Linked DNA regions of Lonchura striata. The main gene of each other region encodes a partner of the protein of the gene in region 2 in a complex. Links are inferred from orthologs where the notes say so. Each region holds a gene or a part of one and is shown on either strand. Other genes may lie near its edges. The genes, in order: GATC, QRSL1 and GATB.

Region 1 (6,736 bases), on a different chromosome or scaffold from region 2:
AACAAGCATCAGGCAGTCTGTTCTCACTGGAGTGTGTGGGAGCAGCACTGAACTGGCAGTTTTAAGTTTAGCCTGTGCTGCATTGGGAATGTGGGATCATCTTGTCCAAATTGTTGGTTTAGTTGCTGCCTTTAAATAGTTACTTGATGCTATTTTGGGTTAAAAGCTCCTGCAGCCATTCAGTTCCCTCTCAAATTCCTCTTCCTTTTTTTGTGTAAATAATATTGTCCCTATTCTCTCTGATGGTCAAAGGGAGAAGCCAAAATGGATAGATCAAGGGGGGACTTATCAAACTGGGAATTACCTGATATTATGATTGTGGTATTAATCATATTGTTTGATAGATATTTGAAATCTTTCCTTGTCATGATTTTTATAAACCTCATAAATTACTTAAAGGCTGAGTTTGTATATTTGTTAAACTTCAGCATTTGCAGGGTCTGAATCTTGACAAGTCTGAGGCTAAAGCATAAATACAGTGTTACAGCTTTGCAGAGAATTGGATTAGTGGTGTTAAATACAGGCTTTATTTCAATACCCTTGAAAGAATTCAAGTATCATAGTAATTACATGTTTTATGCATCTATGAGTATATTATGGATGCTTAAACAAAAAATTAGATAATTTCACAATGAAGAGTGGGACAAGGGTTTGCTCTCACCTCCAGACAGCAAATTCCCTTTGCAAATAAAAGCACCAAGATCATCTGCCATGCTGCCATCCAGCTTCAGAGACATTGAATATTTCAGCAGCACTACTAAACTTTTACACTTTCTTTCTTCTGTCTTGCAAGTGCTCTTCTTTTGACCAAAATACATGCGAGGGTGTTTCAGCTGTGACTGCACAAAACTTCACTTTCCCCAAATAAAATACTCAAAGGGTATTTAGGCTCTGGGCTGTCACTTAGAGCCCTGCAGAAAAGTCTCTCGGTCTTCCAGCTTTGGTAAAGGGATGTTACCTGAGAGAAAACAGAAAACAAGTTGTGTGAGACCAGCTGTAAGTTACCTTGTGGGCAGAACACCTTGGCATGGAAGTGTTTCTCCAGTTTACTCCATGAACAGGCTGCCTGAATACCCTGAGAAAGTCAGGAAATTAAGTCCTGCCTGACTTCCTATAAGGAATTTCTCAACATGTGCAGTAACTTCAGAGTCAGGCCAGCCTCTGTGCTGCTTCTGAACTAATAAACTGCACATTGTTTTACACAGATGGCTACATTCCTTTATTTTAGTGCTCCCCATTATTGACTAGTATTTCTGAAAGTAAATGCAGCTATGGCAGGTTATTTTCTTCAGGTTAATTCAGGTGAGATTAAGAGGTTTTTGTAAGCAAGTCAATACCTGGTGGAGCTACAAAATACTCCTCTACTTTCTCTCTGGCATTTTCCAGCAGTTCTTTGGTGCAGTTGCCTTCTGTCACATCATCTTCTCTGAGATACAAACACCTGAAGGACAAAGATTACTGATTGTTTTTAGGCTGTTCTGTGAATATGAGGTAGGAAGGGTGGCTTATCTCTGAATCTGGTTTTGGTCTCTTAAACACTGAGACAAATACTGGAACATTTTGAAGCACCCAAGAATGGCACTGGCAGGCATTTGGGGAATTATTGTAAATGCAGGTGAACTTAATGGGAAGAAATTATGACTGACTCAATTCAGAAGGCTGAATGATTTCTTTATTATAACTATGTTAAATACATTAATATACTATATAAAAAGGAAGATACTAAAACTATATACTACTTTCTCTAACACAATTCATGACCTTCTTTTGAGGGTCTAGACACAGGTGGGTTGGATTGGCCGTCAGGCTCAAACAATCCCCACCAGAATCGAATCAAGCACTCACTCTAGGTAAACAATTCTCCAAACACATTCCACATAGGAAAAACAAGCAGTAGAAATATAAATTGTTTTCTTTTTCATTTATCTCTGTACACCTCTAGAAAATCCTGAAAAAAAGAAAAATGTACTTACCACAGGGAACAGTGTGACAAGACAGATTAAAGGACTTAAGTTCACCTTTGCTTTACTCACACATAAAAATTACACGTGCCAATGACACCTTTCTCCCACACAGAACCACAAGAAGATGTTTTTGAGCAAAGGGGCCACATGCATGGTGATTCCCAGGGAAAAAAGGTCCCAGAAGCAAACAGTTTGATGCATTAACAGATAAAAAGAGGCTCGTATGATATAGCACCTGTCCTCCAGCACTGAATCCATCGGTTCCACGCCGTCGGTATTTACTTCATGGAGCTGATCAGCGAACTGGATCGCTTTGTGCAGCCGCTCCACGCCCTCCGAGTCCCGGAAATCCACCAGGGCCAGCTGCTCCAAGTGGTCCAGCACTTCCACCGACACGTTCTGCTGTACAAAAGCATCAACACGGACAAAAAAAAGGTCAAAAATTAACAAGTTTAATAGCGCTACTTCCTTTTAATTAGAAACTTGTTACACGTCAAAAGCGGAGTTCACAGAGAACCCTAAAATCGTTAATGCTGGAAAAGACCTTTAAGGTCAGCAGATCCCGGCCACCGGCAGGGACCCGCTGCTGGCTGTCGCGGCCGGCGCTGGGCGCCGTCGGCGCTGCGCGGAGCGCTCGGTGCGGCGCTGCGCGGAGCGCTCGGTGCGGCGCCGCGCGGCGCGGCCGCGGGCCGGCCCCGGCGCGGAGCCACCGCCCGAGCGGCAGCGCGCGCATCGCGGCCCCGGCGCGGCGTCACCGGTGCACCGGATGCGCGTCACGGCGCGGCCGGCGCGGCCGCCGCGATGAACAGCGTGGGCGAGGCGTGCACCGAGCTCAAGCGCGAGTACGACCAGTGCTTCAACCGCTGGTTCGCCGAGAAGTTCCTCAAGGGCGACAGCGCCGGCGATCCCTGCGGGCAGCTCTTCAAGCGCTACCAGCTCTGCGTGCAGGTGCGTCCGGCCCGGGCCCCGCTCCCCGCGCCCCGGCCGTCCTTCCCCCGCCGCCCCAGCGCGGCCTCGGGCCGCACCACTGAGCCCCACGCAGCTCCGGGCTCCTCTCGCCCTGCGCCTGGCCGTCGTTACATGGAATACTTCACAGACGTCTCCTGCACGTTTCTGTCAGGCTGACTAGTTCAGTGAGTTCTCCGTACGTCCTTCAGCAACTCTAACATTGAAGCGTTGTTCAAACCAGCCTTTAAGACTACTTTTTCTAGGTCGCTTGTGATCTGGATTATTTTGGATGATTTCTATTCAGGCAACAAGCGTCAGGACAAGAGCTTACAGAATTAAGCTGCAGCAGGGAGGTTTAGGTTGGACATCAGGAGGAATTCTCTCACAGAAGGGGTGATCCGACGTTGGAGGTGGTGCAGGCAGTGTTTAAGGAGAGCCTGGCCATTGGCGTGCTCTGGTTGACGTGGTGCTATTGCTCATGGGTCATAGGTTAGACTCGATGATCTCAGAGGTGTTTTACAGCTTAATTGATTCTGTGGTTCTGTGTTTTGTACCAAAGATAACATCATGTAGCCCTGTAAAGTGCTGAATTTAATTATTTGGTTTTTCTTCTTTTTTCAGAAAGCCATCAAGGAAAAGGACATACCCATTGAGGGCCTGGAGTTCATGGGCCCAAGTAAAGGAAAAAGTGAAAACTCCTCTTGATGTTGGCTGTATGGGTGGAGTCACTAATAGGAGCCTTTGGACTAAGCACCATCACCAGGTGTACCACAGATGCCACCTGGAGAAGACCTTTGTTAACTGCTTTCTAGGAAGTGACAAATGTTCTCTGCTTGTGAAAACAAACTGCTGAAAGAAAAAAAAAAAAAAAGACTGGATCATGTGGTAACTGCTGCCTCTTTGCCAGTGAAACTTGGTGGTGGTTCAGCATCTAACTGCTTAAAACTCCATGTGAATAACTTCCTACTGAATGTACTCTGTAATGGGGGAATGCTGCTTGGAGTGGGCTGCGGTGGGTTCTTTGTGGCTGATTTCTCTTGGTTATTTATATAACACTTGAAAGTGTTTCAAAAGAATACGAAGGGGGTTGATGTACTTTCTACCATCTCTATGCTGCTGAATTTTGGTGATGAAATTAGTTTCGTGTAATCGTGAATGCTGAAGGGTTTGAGCACTGTTTTGTGTCAGCTACAGAGATGGGTTAAGAGCACTAGTGGACCTGCAACAGCTTGGCTAAAATAAATGCAACCAGGTTATATTTTGTTCAAGTAGGTAACTGTGCAGTAGAGTCTGATTGTGCCCCCTAGGAGGGGTGGAAGTGGCCTGCTCAGCTGCTGAAGAGAAGACTCCTAATGCAGAGGTTACTTCAAGCTTTCCTGAGGTACCGACACATCCATGAACTTGAATTCTCTCTCCTTCAGCATTACATGATCCTCACACAGGGATGAAGCAAAGCTTGCCCCTCTCCTTACACCAACACAGGTAAAAAAGATATTATGGCCTGAGGACAAAAGATAACTTCATAATTCTAGAAATACAGTGAGGAAAAAAGCTTCACTCTCTGATTTTAATTACTACTAATAATTTAAAGGTTTAAAAAAAAAAAAAAAACAGCTAAAAAAGTACAGTTCTCAAACATTGTAGCTGGCCTGTCTGCACCACAGCCCCTCACAGATGCCCAGACAATGTGTCCTTGGGCCTTGTGCAGAGGATCAGGAAGTGCTGCAGCCTGAGGCTGTTGTTCTGTGCCAGTCACAGAGCCAGGTGAGCCACCCTCCTGTTCTCAGGTGCAAGGAGCTCCCACTGTGTCAGCACAGGGCTTAAATATAGCACTGAAAAAACAGGCTTTTGGCAAAGTGCAGCAGGTCTAAGGGAAGGATCTAGAAATAGCATATTGGAGACAGTTGACTCTGTAGCTTTTCTTTTTTAAGGAGTAACTCGCAAAAACAGTTTGCTTTTTTATGATCTTCATGTAGGGCTAAATGTAATGTGACTTTGTCAGCTTTAAAACAACTGTGGTGCCCATCAGTGCCTTGTACTTTCAAATAGGAAAACTTTGTCTCAACAATCTTTTACTGGTAAACAGACAAAAAAAATCACATGGAAACATGGGGAAGGGCATCCTGCACTACCACTTTGAGATTCTCTCTTGCCATCTGTCACTCCTTTCAACAGCAAGATGCCAAAGCAGCTGCTGCATTCTACCTTTTGGGAAGAACCACGTTCGTGACAGCTGAGATAGAGCTCACTTTCACATTGTGCAAAAAATATAGAAGTTATAGTAAGAACTGGAAAATGGTTGACTTGTAGTGAGCAAAAAACTTGAAAATTAAAGTTGTACTGGCACAGGCTCATGCTGTTGGCTCACTATTTTCTTTGCTTCAGGCAGCTTCTGCATGACACAGTACACATTACACAGACACAAGCAGTAGAACCAAAATTGTGTTTTCTTCTGCAAAACCTGTGTGACAGACACAGACTGCAGCTTTATGGAGAGCAGAGTGGTGAGAAAGATATGTGCTGATGTACCTGAAAATTTGAGAGCTGAAGGGGAACAATGTGAAGGCAGAGCTTAGCTCAACATCTTTGCTGCCACCCCCTCTGCCAGGAGTGACCAAGAGAAAATCACCTTCATGACTGTTAATAAATATTGCAAAAGCTGATAATGGAGAATGTGCTTCAGTATATATTGGGTTTTAATCTATGTATATGTTGTTCTGGCCGTGAGTTTAGAGTCATCAGTTAAACCAGACACGAAGAATATGAAATTGATTCATGTCCTGTGCCAAATGCATTCGTGTTGTTTGTTACAGACATAGGAACATGTGTTTCCATTCAGGCAGTCAAGCCCCTTTGCTCATGCACTCTGTCCTGTGGGTAACCTTAATGCTTTATGCCAACACAACTAAAAATCTCCTAAGGATTCAGGTAAACAAGTCAAATCCCAAATTCATGTTCAGAGTTGTTTATTTAAAGGGCCCCATCACAAATGCACACGGGGGCCAGTACACCACTCAGCTTCATCTCAGAAGAAACAGTTTCTGTAACTATGACCCCAGAAATGATGGTTCCCATTCAGCATTCTGGTTCAATATGGGGAGAGCCAAAGTTCCGGCTGTTGTCAGGATCTTGGTTTTAATCTTCATAACCGGTTGGGAGAGCGTTAACGTGGGGGTTGTGAAACAGAGTTTTATTCCCATCACCCCAGGGGAAACGCTGTTAAAAGAAGAAAGAAAATAAGCCAGTGGTAGCTCTGAACAACCCCTACAAGCACCTGAAACCAAGAACAGTACAGACTCAAACATCAATTCTCCCAGGCAATTAGTGACAGGCTATGAGGAAATGGCCTCAAGCTGTGCCACAGAAGGTTCAAGCTGGACATCAGGAGGGATTTCTTCATGAAAAGGGTTGCTAAACATTGGGACAAATTGCCCAGGCTACTGGGGTCACCATCCCTGGAGGTGTTTGGGTATAGACTGGATGTAGCACTTAGTGCCATCATCTGGGCCACAGGGTGGAGATGAGTCAAAGGTAGGGCTCCATCTCAGAAGACTTTTCTAACCTAAATGATTTTATGATCACACAGCTAGACAGGCTGATAAATTAAGCAAGCTGGCTCCCAGGATGTAGGAAGCAAGAGTTGGAAAACTCTCTCCCTTAGCTGGGAGCCAGAGTCTCTGAACAGCACAATCTTTGCTCTTAAACATCCACTGTGTTGTATTACGAGGACCCCAATTTTGAGTACTTGGGATCTCCACTGCTACCTTTTAGATCTGTGTTACTTTAAGTACAGCAGCTCTAGGACTGAAAAATTTTTCAGCAAG
Region 2 (8,102 bases):
TGTATCATTTATGCAACACTATAAACACTCAAGGAGAAGTTCATGCAGCTCTTTGTGTCCTTCCAGTAAGTATTCATTATTGTCTTGCCTCACAGAAACAGGAGTTAAGGATTACAGGTAGATTGGAACAGATGGTATGTATGTTATTTTATGTAAAATCAGCACATTAAAAATAATAAACATCACTTACCCCATTGCAAATTCATCTAGGTTTGTTTTACCTAAAAGCACAGCTCCTTGATCCAGTAACTTCTGAACTACTGTAGCATTGTAAGGAGAAATATAACCTGAAAACAATCAAAATAATTAAGAGCAACTGGTGAGATGCAAATTATTTTTACAAGTAGCTTAGTAGCTTCTCTGAACATTTTGATATTATCATTACCACTCAGACCTTACATAACCTAGGATGAGAACTATGACAGTGACATGAGATCTCAAGTAGTAACTAATTCACTTTGTGAATGACGACGAGGGCTTCTTCACTCCCACTTTCATCAGAAACAAGGACATCACTCCTAATACTCATTGCAATCAATCACAACAGGTCTGAGGATGTGCTTTAAGGAAAAGCATCTATAACAACTTTTACAACAGTGAAGTCATATTTTGTTTCTTCTGCTATTAAAAAAACCATAATCAAATTAGAGGTCTGCTAATTTACTTCTGCTATCTTCCTCAAGGATTAATATAGTCTTACTTTGCACAGAATAAAACAGGTGTAAGAAATGTTTCCTACTTTTGTTTTTACTATAAAAACATTGTAATGACTTGAAAATGTTCATGAACTGTTAATAAAAACAATGAGTTTAGGAAATTAAAAAAAAATTCCTTAAAAGCATTATAGAGTGATTGTATGTTGGACTGTTAATATCTACTTTTCCTACAGCCATATCAAAAAACTATTTAAGTCACCAATTATAAACAGAACAACAACAAAACTGGACTGTCTCTGGATTTCACTAGGCAGAACAGTACTGACTGCTCTCCTCTAGACCTAAAAGCAATGTGAAGGAAAATGCAAGTTTTGGAACCATTTTATTGTAGTTTTATTATTTATTATTATTTTATTTGTTTTTTTAATGTTTTTAAATGCATACAATTATAAAGAAATAACATGCTTAGAAGAAGAAAAAGATCTATCTGTAATACCAGATGAACTTGGCTAGTGAAATTGGATAAACATATTTCCTCAAATGATACCAGCTCATTTTTCAAAAATACTTGGATTTCTGCAAGCCTCCAGTCCATAAACCCTCTAAAGAGCAAAAGATCTGATTTTACTTTAAAAGCTTTACTGTACCTTTTAACATATTTGATGCACATGTTGTCTCAATGCCAGCTGTATTAAAGTTGTCTTTTACAGCAATAGGAATTCCATCTAGAATGCCCAGTGGCTGACCTGCATTAAGAATGATTATAAAACAACAGAGATTAAAGCAAAATGTGCTCTATAAATATAAAGTTCTCATCAATTACTGTTTATTTTACATATCGCTTTGGGTGGTTTTTGGACGCAAGATTGCTTTCCACTTGGCACTTGATGGTTGTCTGTTCCATTCTCAAGAACCGTCTTCCATTCCAGCTCAAGCATTGAGCACTGTGCCCAAACCAGACCTCATGTCTAAGCCCTCCACCTGCTTCCATCCAGGCTGGCTATCCCAAAGGAGTGCATTCCAATGGGACCACACAACACTTATTTCAGCCATAGGTGCTACTAAATCCACTCCATCACTAGGATGGCAGCCATAAACACTGCCTAACTGACGTACACAGTAGATTAACTACTGAAGCAGAGAAAATCCTTCCCAAGTAACTGATTATCCACCATCAAAAAAAAAACCCAACCCAAAAATGAAATGGCCTACATCAGGAAGCAAAACAACCTGGCTGACAATTTTATTGAGCTGCCAGAGGACAGCAAGTGTCACCCAGGAAGGAAACTGTGTACTCTATTGGGTGAAAATTTAACTTTCCTGCCTTTCTTGAAACACAAAGGCAAAATGAGGATGGCCATCTCCTAAATGCTGGAGATAACGGGACTGAAAACTGTTCTGTTCTCCTATTACTAACTGCAATTAATAAAGCTACTTTATTTTAATTTGTTTTCTTAATTAAAAATTCAATAGGTTCTGCCAGCTGTTTGCCTATCCCAGCCTGGAGGCCTGTGAATGACCACTGCATTTGCCTATTCATAGCACCTGTTGGCTACATATTCTAAATGAACTGCTGAGGCAAAGAAGCAGCAGACACCAAGCAGCAGTGCTGTCCAAGAGGCACAGAGGCTATTTAACCTGCAGTGCCTTGTTCAGTCCAGACTGTTTTTTGGCCTAAATACTCTCCTGAGTGCCAAGTGTACGTCCACGAGCACCCACGGAAACCTCAAGCGTGAGCCTCATCCCCCAACAGTCAGACAAGCCAAGACATCCCCTTTAAAAAGCAAAGGTGCTTCGTCTAACAAAAAGAGCTCCTCCACAGCAGCTTTTTAAGGACTGACATTACTTACAAACCAACATACCTCTTTTATATCTCTTCTCTGATTCTTCAGCCTGCTTCAAAGCGGTCTCTTCCGTTACGGTAATGTACGCATTCAGAAACTTGGTGGTTCTGATGAGGGCCAGGCATCGCTGGCACAGCTCCGTGGGAGTGACTCGTCCTTCCTTCAACGCCGCCGACACCTGAGAGCGCAGCCCGTCGTTCGGGGCAGCCGGGGGACAGAGGCCGCGCCGGGGCGGAACGGGAAGAACGCGCCATCCCCGCTGAGGGAAGGTGCCACGGGAAGCGCTCTCCCGGGCCGCCCCGGGGAAGGGGGACGCCAGGGGACCCGGGTCACCTTGCGAACCCGCCCCCCTCCTCGACACCCCTACCCCGCTCTTTGGCATCCTCAGCAGGTGGACAAACCGCACTCACCTGTCGGAGAGAGGTGCGCAGCATGGCTGCCCCTGCCCGCCGCCACCTTCTCACGCCCGCCGAACGACCCTCACCTTCCCCCGCCGCGGCAGCCGCGCGCCGCCATCTTGCCGCAACACCCCGCGGCGCCATTGGCAGGGCGGCCAAGAAGGCGGCCGCCCATTGGCTGCGGGGGCCGCCGGGCTGAGCGCTGAGGCGCGCCGTGGCGACCCGGCCCGATCCCGATCTGGTCCTTATCCCGATCCCCATCCCGAGCCCGGCCCAGCCCGGCCCGGCCCGGCCCGGCTGCCCTGGCTATGCTGTCGTGGGGAGCGGCGGGCGGGCGGGCGCTGCGCTGGGCGAACGGGCGGGCACCGGCCCGCGGGCTCCGCGCCTCTCCGCGGGCGCGGGTCGCCATGCCCAGCTGGGTCATAGACCGGTACGGCAGCAACGAGGTGCTGCGCTTCACCAGGGAGATGATGTTCCCCATCATACACTTCCCGAACGAGGTCATCATTAAGGTTCACGCTGCGAGCCTGAACCCCATCGACCTCAGCATGAGAAGTAAGTGCCGAGCCCGAGCAGCCGCGGGCGGGCTGCCGGGATGGCAGGGGCTGCGCTGGGGCACCGTCCTGCCCGCACTGTCCCGGGCTGCCTCAGCACACGTGTTTCCCGAGCCCTGTGGGAAACCGCCGCCTCTTGGAAACTCGACCTTTTTTCAGGTTCTCGGGGAAGAACGATACAAAAAGCCACTGGCAAAAGTGTGCGTGTGTGTGTTGCGAGGGTGCACTCTTAATTGAGTGATTGTGGTGCTGCTCTCGACTGAGAGACGCCCGGCCAAGGAGCAGCATTCTCCCTAAGTGATGCTGGATTTTCCCATCTCCTTGCGGTGAATGGGGCTGGAGGTCCAAGTTGCTGCCAAGTCGGCATGTGCGACCTAAGGCAAACCCTGGTGTTCATTGCCATGCCTATCCTGAATTGGCATCTGGGGACGTGCTGTTATCCCGCCCAGGAAATCTGTCTCTCTCACTGGCCGGCTCTTCGTATTTGACACAGTCAATCAGATTTTCTTCCCCAGCTTCTGGGTTTGAAACACAAGAAGGAAATTGTGGTAATAGAATACCTTATATTTCCTGTGTAGAAGTGCTTTCATATCAAATCAGATGCAGTAGAATTAGCCAATAGCAGGAAGCCTGCAGACAGAGCTCTAATCTGTGTTTTGGGTCTCTAATAAATGAATTTTAAAAAATTTTTCCATATAATTAGGGGTTTGGTGATGGGACATTTCCTATCTGAGGATTCCTGTTAAGACACCTTCTGGCATGATAGGGCCCTTAGGTGGACTTGTCCCAGCACTTGAGTGGGTATACATGCCCAAATGCAGGCTATTTTTAGGCTGAGCACTGTTATTAGATGGGTAACTCTGAGACTTCACAGAATTTGTCTGTGCTTACTGAATAGAAGTCCAGGTTACTCATCTTAGGAGATATGCCTTATTATTTTTTACACTTGCTCTTTATTTCTAAAATCTGTAAAAGTGTGAAATATTGCAGATTTTTTGCATGCTTCAGTTGTAACAGAAATGAGGCACCTTATGGATGACAATGCTTTTTAATTGGAATTGCACAATTAATAAATGAGCATTCAATTGTGGTGTGTTGTGGTTGATTCCATGTTTTGCAGGTGGTTATGGTGCAACTGCGTTAAATATGAAGCGGGATCCCCTGAAACTCAAAACAGGCGAGACTGAATTTCCTCTAACGCTTGGTCGAGATGTCTCTGGTGTTGTTATGGAATGTGGACTGGGTGTGTCCTATTTCAAACCTGGAGATGAGGTAAAACCACCAATCTCTTTTTTTTTTTTTTTTTTTTCTTCCCCCCCAAAATGTATAGTTAAAATATACTATGAGAACTTCAGCATTCATTCGCATCTTAATTTTTTTTTAATGCTGTTACACTCTTAGTAAGGCCTATCTGGCAGTAAATTCCTGGAATACTTTCTTCCCTTTGTTTTTTTCTCTGGAAAACATGGTCTTTCAGAGACTTGTTTCTGCAAGTTAATTTCCTTTCTGTGTTTTAGTTTTTGGACCATTGCAGCAGTAGCAAGAGTGGAATTTGTTTGTTTATAAGTGCACACTCAAAGTGCCAATTTGTTTTCAATTGAAAGTAGAATTCTAATGAGAAGGGATTTGTTTTTATTTTTCTTGAGTAACTTGGAGTAGGAACTTCGGCTCAACCCAAGAAGTACTTAATGGGTGCCCACAGAAATACTGATACTGTTTGCTTTCACCTTCACCAGTTGCTTTCACATTTCACCAGTTTTAGCTAAGCAAATCCTGATTCTGCACCACCCTCACCCCTCTAATCTGGGCTTTCCTGGCATGGGAGTAGTATGGGGGCAGTTGAAAATTATGTCTTATACACAATGCAATGGTACAATTTATTTACATAGCCCTCCAGTCCTACATTTAGTCTGTTTTGTGGGGGTTTTTTTGTGTGCAAAATAAGCCAAAACTGGTTTCTGATAAACAGTGAGGACATTCTGTGAATTAGAAAAAAGATTTCCTTAACAAAGGAAACTTCTGTGTACATACAGTTGTGTGCAAAAGTACAAAAATTGATAGTTGTTTCCTGTTTGGTTTTAGGTGTGGGCAGCAATTCCCCCATGGAAACAAGGCACTCTGTCAGAGTTCGTGGTAGCTAGTGGAAACGAGGTAAACTTCCAAAACTCTGGCTAACAAAACCTCAAAGTTGTAAAGACTGGCATTTTTCTTCTTCAGTATCTAAGTAACTTTATTTCTTAGTGCTTGGATTGATTTATACTCTAGCTAGTGTTAAAGATGGCTGAAAATGTGCAATACACAATCTGAAATTCAGTAAAGCTTTTTTAAGTATTTCAGTGTCACATAGGAGCTGCTGTGTGACTTAGTAATGATTTTATTTCAGGTATCTTTTAAGCCAAAGTCTCTCAGTCACACAGAAGCTGCTGCCTTACCATATGTTGGTCTCACTGCGTGGTCTGCACTTAACCAAGTGGGAGGACTGAACCGAAATAATTGTAGTGGGAAAAGGTAAGTAAACAGTTCTGGTGCTAAAACTAAAGTTCTTAATTTTTATATTGATGAGCTGCTTCTAAGACAAGTCCAGCAGCAATAAAGACTGTTATACCGTGACATTCCTAAGGATCAGTTGTCTGAGGATGATGCATTCTCGCTACACAGCTGCTGAGAGAGGCTTCTTTAGAGGAAGGCTCAGATGAGGTCCCTATATAGAGATAAAAAAATGCCCAGAGAAGTTGTGGATACCCACACATCCACAAGTGGAAATACTTAAGGCCATGTTGGGTGGAGCTCTGGGCAGCCTGCCCCATTGGAGGGTGTCCCTGTCCACAGCAGGGCATTTAGAACTAGATGATCTTAGAGGTTCCATCCAACCCAGGCTCTTCTATGTTTCTATCATAATCCCATGTATATCTATGTAGAGAATTTGAGGATGTTATCTCCAGGAATTTGTAGGGACTTTGCCTGTCTTCCTGTTAAGACAGCTAGCCAAATGTAATATTCTCTGAGTTATACTGGCAGCTCACAAAAATCCCTCTCAAGGACAGAGATGTGGTTCACTCACTTCCTGCATGCATGGGCCATTTGGGGCAGACTGGTCTTCCAGCTTTTTAGAGAAAAATGAGCAGGTGACTGACTCTTATTTGACCTGCAGGTCAGAACTTTGATGAGGTCAGGAATGAAGAAAAGAAAAGGAGAATGTACAAGACGAGCAGCCAGTCAAATAGAAAAATTGACTTTGTTTATCAGTCTGTTGATCTGACAATGGCAGATGAGGAAAAATGCAGTGAAAGATTGGAGCAAATACCATTTTTCTCCTGATAATTGAAATTTTCAGTTATTTTGACCTTTGGATGTTGGGTAAATAGATAGCAAAATCTTCAGAATGGAAATAATGACAGAAGTAAAACAGGGGTTGAAAAACAGTAGTTAAAATTACTATGCTGCATCACAGGTTTAGGTCATAAAGTAATTACTGGGCAACAGGAGTCTGGATGCCTGACCTCTTATCTTGGCTGATACTTTGTAATGCAACACGTTGCAAAGGACTCTGGATCGATTTAAATTTTTCACCCATGTCTCTGAAGACAATCAAGTGAGTGGTCATTCATGTGTCATAGTGAACTTCATCATGAAAATATTGAGTAATAGTTTTTTCCATAGATAAACAATGTTTTGAGATGAAAATTCAAAATTTAAAGGTGTTTCAAAGATACTTAATTGTAATTAACTTCCAGCTAGTAATAAAATTCTAGATAAGATCACCTTTTTATTTTTCAGTGTTTAGACTTTTTATTATCTTAATTTTCACATGTAAATAGAATTAACCTAAAGATTCACTGATAGGCTAGATGTATTTGTCTTTCCAATCTTCAGGTAAGTGTTTAGATTGTTAACAGTAAAATTGAAACTGGATTTGTAATGTGTCTTTAGATTTAATATTTACTTTCATATTCCAAATAATTTTTTAATTATGTTGTCAGCAAGAAACCCATTTTAATGTACTGTAAAATATTATATTTCCTGTCTATAAATTTTGAACTGTAAAACCAGCAGTGAATGACTTATGTGATAGTACCTTTTTTCCCCTGAAATATTACTTGTAAGAAAATGTTTAAAATGCGTTGAAAAGGTTGTGCAAAATAATATTCCATGAACTCTCAGGGTAATAATTTAAAAATATGACAATTTATGCCATGTTTCCTAATTTCTTTAGATCATGTACTTGGTGAGAAGTTACCTACATGTGTGATTTTATGTCAGTCTTTTTGTCTCCTGTAGTTGTAGGTAAATAGCTATGTAGAAGGGTGTATATGCACACAAAAATGTCTTATTTTGGCAAAGCAGATGTATTCCTTGATGAAAGCTACTTCACTGGTGCTTTAGTGCAATGTTAAGACATCTTAAAAGCAGTGAGATTTTTCTTTGCCTCTTTCAAGGCATTAGTGTGGGCTAACCAGAAACACTTGCTGTTAGTCCAGTTCTGGCGGTGCATTGATCTGAGAGATTATCTGTTCCACCTACACATACTTTCACAGGTTATGTTTTTACAAGTTTCCTGAAGTGTGCTCTCATTGTTTGTGAACCCTCCACCAATTCCAGTCATTTTTCCATAGTTTTTATTCTATGCCACTCTAATTAATGTCAATATTC
Region 3 (7,149 bases), on a different chromosome or scaffold from region 2:
ACAACATAATTTCTCCTTTTAAGGATCATGACATATATCAACACCCTAGAAATGCAGACACAAATTAGTTCCCAATTTTAGATTATCTGAGGCTGTTTTATGGTAATGCAAAGCTACAACTAGATTTAAAAATACATTTCTGTAACTGGAATTCAAATCTGCACTTTAATGAATACAGTCAGTGAAACATTTCTGCTTTAAATAATTAGACCCCATCTTAGTCTCTGCAGAGTTGTTGCATGTGGCAATGCTAAGTCTATTAAATATTTATTTTCACTGTATTGTAAGAGCTTATGTTCTAATTTTTTAACTTTTATTTTTAAATTAAACTTGTTAGATACTCAGAGAATTCCACAGTAGTACTGTCATAGCCATCACAGTTATAATTAAGCTGTGAATTCAAACACTTATTAAGTTTTCACTAATAAACCTTATTGCTAAGTGCTAGCTAGTTATTCTGACCTATTAATCTCCAATGTGTCACACAGATTACTTTTTTTTTAAATAATTGGTTTGCTCTGGAAATAGGAATGGTTGACACTTTCCTAAATTGGAGACATTCTTCTCAGGAATCAAAGTAACTCCTCAGTGAGACATTCCAAATGGCAAATGACAGCTACATAAACAAGCATATGGCAAAATAACATCAAATGGCCACTCAGAAATCTTAAGATGTTCTTCTCTCACTGGGCTTTAGGCATCTCTCATATTTAAGGAATTTCCTGTGTGGCATACTAAGCAAACACACCCACTCTGGCCTCAAAGAAATACCACAACCCATTCACTATGTTGAAGAGACACTCCTGATTTTTCTCCTTTGCAGGGGATATAAAGGCATCTCATGTTATGAAACAGAATTTAGACAAGTAAGGAAAAGTAGTCATATATATGACTTTAGTCAAATCCTGGGAAAAATAAAATATTAGAAGCATACACAAAGTTGTCTGACATTAATTGAAACTGCAGCTTAACTTACTGGTAAAGTTCCTGGTAAAGAGGCATCAAAGAAAGATACCAAAGAGTTGGGAGGTGCTGCAAACTGGACTTGTGAACCAGAGAAGAGTTTTGAGTTGGAACTGATCTGTGCATGAATTTCCAGACCCACAACTGGTACCCACGGAACGAGACTGAAAAGGAAAGAGGAGAAGGGGAAAACAATTTAAATATAGATGATGTTAAAACCCATGGAAACCTAGAAACAGAAGTATTAGGAACGCTTAATTTATTTTAAAACATTGTAATTGTAAAAAAATTGTAAACAATGTTGCAAATACATCTACACTGTAATAGGAAAACCTGTGCTGTGATACTGGATAACAGAGGCTATGGGACTACATGGCAGTGCTAATTACATGCAAAAAAGAATGTAATAAAAAATTGCAATGGTTTAAAACTTTTAACTTTTCCTTATGTGAGAAATCTCAGAGAAATTAATGAGGCACACTTGCATGCTGGATGAACCCTAATTTGGTGCCTCATGAAAATCCCCAAATCATCATAAATATGAATTACTTCTCAGGTAGCTTGATAAATCTACAACAGACAGGTGGCATAATAAATTATGTATTCTCTGTCAGATAGACACTTGCATGCTGGGAAAGGTGGCTCTCCAGAGCAGTGTTAGTAGAATATTAGCATAAACATTAGTAATCTGGTAATAGAGAAATCATCATTTCAACTAGAGAGCTACTGTTCTCTGAATGCATTCTGCAGAATAAAGCTTCTCCATATCATCTAAAAAGTAATTGCAATTCTCACATCCATAACCTTTATATGGACAAGAGAAAAAGGTCACCTTTACAGTATGAATTGCTTGACAGTTTCTGTAAGTAATTATCTGGCCTTGTAAAAATGAAGTGGCACAAATAATATTTCACTGATGAAATCGCATTTCTGTGGCAGAACACTTCAGCAGTATGAGTACCCAGATAGCAGGAGATAAGCAAGCCATGAAAAAACATCAAACAAATATAAGAAGTACAGTGTTCCTTCCAAAGGTGAACATTCTACACTGCCAAGATTTTAGTTCTCCATCTGCCCTCCAACAGCTGAGGACATCCCTACAAACACACCAAACTAGTGATGCAGTTGATGCTTTAGGAAGAAGAATATTACCATGAAAGATTAAGGTTCAGATGTTTAAAGGAGCTAACGCATTTTCTTTCATTTAAATAGTATTATTCTTCAGTATTTTTAACCGAACATACAAATGCTTCAAGGTTAGAGAAATAATGTGGGCTTTCTTTTACATTTCCGAGGCAAATTTATTCCAGTTTCCTGTATTCTTCGGAAATCCGCTTCTGTCATATCAAGGCATTAAAAATTACACCAGGTTTTGCTTAATCAGTGTGTTGGCTTACACTCAGAGAAAAAGGTACGTGCACCAGTCAGTCCTTCAATCCACTGACAACACTGATGAGGCACCTGGAGCTCCTTGCCTTGTTTGTTCAAGGATTATGTTTATCTGTGTCTCTAAAGAATTAGCAGCACACTCTGCCGCTGTTGAAGTGATCAGCTGCGCAGACACTCGTGGGACACGAGAACTTGGTCAGGCCGTGACTTTCAGCTGCATGCTCTGCTTCAGGCACAGCACCCAAACCTCACACACCGCGCTAGAAGAGAAGCGTGTGTGGGGCTGGAAGAAGCCTCGGAGGCGCGCTCCTGAGGGCTGGGTCCCCCTCGGGCGCCCCGCGGCTCCCGCTCCGAGCCGCGGGCTCCCCGCGCCGCCCGGCCGGCCACGGCCCCGCCGCCGCGGCCGTTCCCACTGCGCTGGGGTAAACGTGCTGCCGACGCTCACACCGCTCACACGGCCAATTTACACCGGGCCCCGCCGCTGCCACCGCCGCTCCCGCGCCCGGAGACCCACAGCCGGGCAGAGCCAGGGCGGAACAGCTCCACCGGCCGCTCTCCCCGCGCCGTCCCGGCACCGTACCCGCTCTTCCCCGCCGGCACCGCCCCGCCTCTCGCGTTACAGGCGACAGCCCTCTGCCCGCGGGGGAAAGGGCCGGGCCCGGGCCCCGGCTGCCCCGCGCCGCGCTGCCGCGCCCGGCGCCAGACCCCGCCGCACCCCCGCGCCGCCATGGCCACCGCAGCGGCCATCGCTCCGCCAGCGGCTCCCGGCCGCCCGCAGCGCCCCCTGGGAAATGCAGTCCGTCCGGCATGGCGGCGCGGAGTGCGGCCGTGCCGGCGGACTACAACTCCCGTCAGGCCGCTGGCCGTGGCGCCGGCCCCGCCCCGCCGGCCGAGCTGGGTCCGGTGGTCCTTTGCTTATCCCGGGAATGCCGGAGCGAGCCGTGGGAGCGCTGCTCGGCTGCTCCCTAGAACGCGTTGGCCGGCTCACGCCCTCTCGGTGCGCTGTGTGTGGTTTTCTTCGGGGCTCCCGCTTTTACAAGACCAGCCGCCTTTTTGATCGGCAGCCGTTTGCAAGCCGAGGGCATCGAATGCTGCAGTGCCACGTGCTCGAGGTCTGGGAGCTTGGCTTCTCCGTAGGGCAGCAAAGTTCAGCCTCGGCTGGGATGTGCTCTGGTAATAAAGAGTATGATAAACGCCAGTCACTTCTTTTTAGAATTTTTAGAAGTTTAATAAGAATAAAATGGTTATAAAGTAATAAAAATTTAGAGTTAGGACAATTACAAGACAATAAAAGCAAAGAATTACGGACATCCGGATGTTTTTGGACACTATGCTGCCAAAAACGTGCCTTGTGAACAAAGGAATACCCCTCAACAGCAATATCAATAGCACATTCATCTATCTCATACATGATGCATAAATTCCTTGCAAATTAAGAACTTTTCTGGTTTTTGTCAACTTCTTCCTCTTAATCCTGGTGGTTCCATAAAGACGGAGAGAAAGTGGAAGAATGTTTGTCTTTTCCGATAGGGAGGCTGTAACTTTATGTGCCCTGTCACTGTTATCTCTGTGAGAAGAGTTTCTTGATTATCTCATCCCTTTTCTTGAGCTAGTAAAAAAAATCTTACATTGCAGAGTTTCTATTTTAACATTATGATGTGACCTAAAACTATATTTAACACACTACTTAAGCGAATTAATACAGCATAACTTTCTAACATTACACATATAATATTCATTTTAATATTTGCAAAAAGCCAATCGTAAAATATGCATTTTTCACAAGAGTCTTGTCCAGGGCATCTGACATCTCTTTAATGTTTACATAGCTACATTGCAGAGATAACAGAATTAATGACAGTCCGTCCCAAGCCATGTGAAGCTTAAACGGGAATGAAGATGAGCCCTTGCTGCTTATGTCACCTGTGCTCTGTCAGCGGCTGCCGGCAGAGGCTGGGCAGGCACACTCGTGTCGCTGAGGCTGGTGGCTTCCAGCAGAGGACAGCGGTATACACAGGCACTTGAGAGTGTCTTGGAACCTTTAGGACCTCTTGTCTTCCCAAGATCCAGTATGAGATGCTGAATGGTTCTGAGTCATGCAGAAAATAATTCACCTAATTAAATAATGAAAGAAAATGGCTTATACACAATGTTTCGTAGCACTGATTTTCTGATATGTTTATATTTTTAATAAATTATCTGGAAGTGCTGTGTAAGAAGAGCCAATTGAGAGATCCTTTCAGCAGACACTGATGTATGGCTATTTGTACAATATTATCTTTTTAAAATTAGTTTGTCACATTCCTTTTCTTGGGAAATATCCTCCTCTTGTACAACAAAGAGTGACCAAAAAAAAATTCCTTTCCAATAGAGAAAAACTCACCACAGGTCATCTTGTACATGTTGTGGAGATGGGAAGAACATTGGAGTGGCCTTTCATCTTCTCTCCTGTAGAAAACTTCTTCACATATGAGGTAAATGAATATATTTCCCTATGCTGTAGTCTTTGAGCCAATTAAACATTTAAGAAATTTTGATAATTCTGATTAGAGGTAAAGACCATTTTCATTTGGACTTAGCAGGGGCCTATGCAATATCTTGTGATGAAAAATGCTTTTCAGACTGCAGCTTTAATACATGGTTTTTATTTCTGCAACAAATTTTTTCTCTTTACAATTGTCCTCCATGAACTCTGGATGTAGTTATTTTCTGATACTATGTAGGGATTGGCAGGTCACTTCAACCCAGCTGTCAGGAGAGGTTCTAAATATAGCTCTGAAGTGTTTCTACTGGGGTAAAAATTGTATATTTCAGATTATTTGACTTTCTTTTAAGTCTGTTCTCCTGCTGTAATAGAAGATTTTATAAATAGTCACTAAGAAGTTAAAACCTAATGAATATTAAAGCCATGTTACTTAAAGCCTTACTCTGCCTTGATTGCATGGATTTCTGCCCTTTGTACATATTAGAAGCGAGTAGACAGCACAAAAGGGTTGAAATCCATCCCAAACAATTCCTCTGGAACTTTTAGCTGTATTAGGTGTTGTCTTACAGAGAGAGGAAGACTGGGAAGTTCCATTGTTTGTGATTTAAATTATCTCAGTGTTATTTTAATTCCCTTCCCAGAAAAAAAATCCCATCCGAAGAACCTTCGCAGCCTTTTGCTAGTAACCAAGGAGGTAATAAATGAAAACCCACACATTCATATGCAGAAGCTAGTCAGTCACAGGGAATAATTGTCTTTCCCAGCAGCTTACTTTGAGGTGGGAAAGGCTACATATTTGTTCTTACTGCAGTGTGTTTATAGATCATGCTGTGGCTTAGAATAGGAAAATAGCACTGCATAAAGATTTGTGCTAGGATAGCTCAGTACTATGTAGACTCATATCTTAGAGAGGATAGACCCAGGGGACAGTTTGCTCTGAGTCTCTTGTTACTGTAGGAATTTAACCAATGTCTGAGAGAAAACTGGAATTTTACAAAGAGCAAAAACCCAACAGTATATAATTTAAGCCATAAACAAGCAGTCTATCCCATTTAGTTGAAAGAATATCCCTCTGAATTTTAGTTTCTAGGGTTCTCAACTCTAAAATCTGTTTTTATGCAAGTCATACTTGTCACACATACTTACTCCTTTTGGGGACTGTGAGGTCTTCTTTTGGTATAGCAGGGAATGGGATATTCAGACTGGGGTGTTTGTTAGATACTTCACAGGCTGCCTGCAGTGTCTTATTTCAGCATGTGAAATAAGGAACAGACAGGAATCTCTGCTAGATTTTGAAGCAAGAGGTTGTGACTTTTGGAACAGTAGATCCATAGTCTATCAAAAATTCAGACATTGGCCTGCAGGGAAGAGTAACAAAGCAGATTGCTAAGTCTGGAAGCAAACTATGGTAAGGGATGTTTTAAAACTTTTAGGCCCTTAAGATCACCTCTATATCTTGAAAGCCTTTTTTTTTTTCCTCTGCGGGTATAAAGAGAGAAATTTTCTTTTTTTCCTGCAACTTTGAACTAATAGTGACAATGATCTGTTTCAGTCTGGAATATGGATTCAACTCACCTATCTACCAGTAATGGGATATGGCAAATACAAAAATGTCTGTCGATCTTGAGGACTGAGAAAGGATATTGACCACAGGAAAGAGTCTTTAGGGACCTAATGGAGCTGCCTTGTATGATCTGCTGTCCATGTGTGCAAGCATGCATGCAGTGGTAGATTGGGTAATATGAACAGCCTCATGACTTGAGGGTTCTTGTATCAAAGTGCCATCAATTTCCTAATTGGGACATAGTGCCATTTTATTTTATTTACCAAAATTGTTATAACTCATGAGTTGAAAAATAAGGGCAGACTCAGACAGGAAATATGGATGCACAAACAATTTCTATAAACAGTAACAAAAACCTGTAAGTTACATGTAGAAGGTGAGTTCAATGTTCCTCAGGGGCTGTGTTGCTGAAGAGAACCTTGGTTCAGCCATGGTAATACCTGTGTATTACCACCTTTCTCTACTGGTTTCTCCTGGTGTGCCTTGCCTGGGAGTGCTGCACTGGGCATTGGCTACATCTGTGACTTGAATCAGGTGCTGGCAATCCCAAAAGCTTTCACTTAGGGGCACAGTACAGCCCTTTGTCTTGGAACCCTGAGCTGGAAGTGAAGTTACTGGGCTTGTTTCTGCTGAGGTCTGTGTAAACCCATACAGCAGAGGCAGTGTTTGGTGAAGTCCAGTGCCACTAACCTTGTCTGAGGGTGAGTACTACCCTAATCTTATTGTTTAAAAAATTAAATCCTTGTTT

Evidence for each region.
Region 1: QRSL1 (region 2) and GATC share a complex: the UniProt entries of both Homo sapiens proteins name them as parts of the heterotrimeric GatCAB amidotransferase (AdT) complex. The link is inferred for Lonchura striata from reciprocal best matches to the Homo sapiens genes QRSL1 and GATC.
Region 3: QRSL1 (region 2) and GATB share a complex: the UniProt entries of both Homo sapiens proteins name them as parts of the heterotrimeric GatCAB amidotransferase (AdT) complex. The link is inferred for Lonchura striata from reciprocal best matches to the Homo sapiens genes QRSL1 and GATB.

Annotation. Positions count from the first base shown.
Region 1 is NC_134620.1:4,812,802-4,819,537, forward strand, and holds GATC (glutamyl-tRNA(Gln) amidotransferase subunit C, mitochondrial), read right to left. Parts: upstream 2,698-6,736; coding exon 2,509-2,697; intron 2,367-2,508; coding exon 2,200-2,366; intron 1,442-2,199; coding exon 1,338-1,441; intron 959-1,337; coding exon 900-958; 3' UTR 505-899; downstream 1-504. Other genes in the region: TRIAP1 (TP53-regulated inhibitor of apoptosis 1), read left to right, coding at 2,766-2,912, 3,534-3,617; COX6A1 (cytochrome c oxidase subunit 6A1, mitochondrial), read right to left, coding at 6,048-6,128. UniProt on the Homo sapiens protein: Allows the formation of correctly charged Gln-tRNA(Gln) through the transamidation of misacylated Glu-tRNA(Gln) in the mitochondria. The reaction takes place in the presence of glutamine and ATP through an activated gamma-phospho-Glu-tRNA(Gln).
Region 2 is NC_134605.1:70,564,799-70,572,900, forward strand, and holds the start of QRSL1 (glutamyl-tRNA(Gln) amidotransferase subunit A, mitochondrial), read right to left. Parts: upstream 3,042-8,102; 5' UTR 2,935-3,041; coding exon 2,911-2,934; intron 2,679-2,910; coding exon 2,519-2,678; intron 1,403-2,518; coding exon 1,304-1,402; intron 288-1,303; coding exon 191-287; intron 1-190. Other genes in the region: RTN4IP1 (NAD(P)H oxidoreductase RTN4IP1, mitochondrial), read left to right, coding at 3,207-3,453, 4,573-4,724, 5,535-5,603, 5,836-5,960. UniProt on the Homo sapiens protein: Allows the formation of correctly charged Gln-tRNA(Gln) through the transamidation of misacylated Glu-tRNA(Gln) in the mitochondria. The reaction takes place in the presence of glutamine and ATP through an activated gamma-phospho-Glu-tRNA(Gln).
Region 3 is NC_134606.1:43,467,416-43,474,564, reverse strand, and holds the start of GATB (glutamyl-tRNA(Gln) amidotransferase subunit B, mitochondrial), read right to left. Parts: upstream 3,082-7,149; coding exon 2,933-3,081; intron 1,128-2,932; coding exon 977-1,127; intron 1-976. UniProt on the Homo sapiens protein: Allows the formation of correctly charged Gln-tRNA(Gln) through the transamidation of misacylated Glu-tRNA(Gln) in the mitochondria. The reaction takes place in the presence of glutamine and ATP through an activated gamma-phospho-Glu-tRNA(Gln).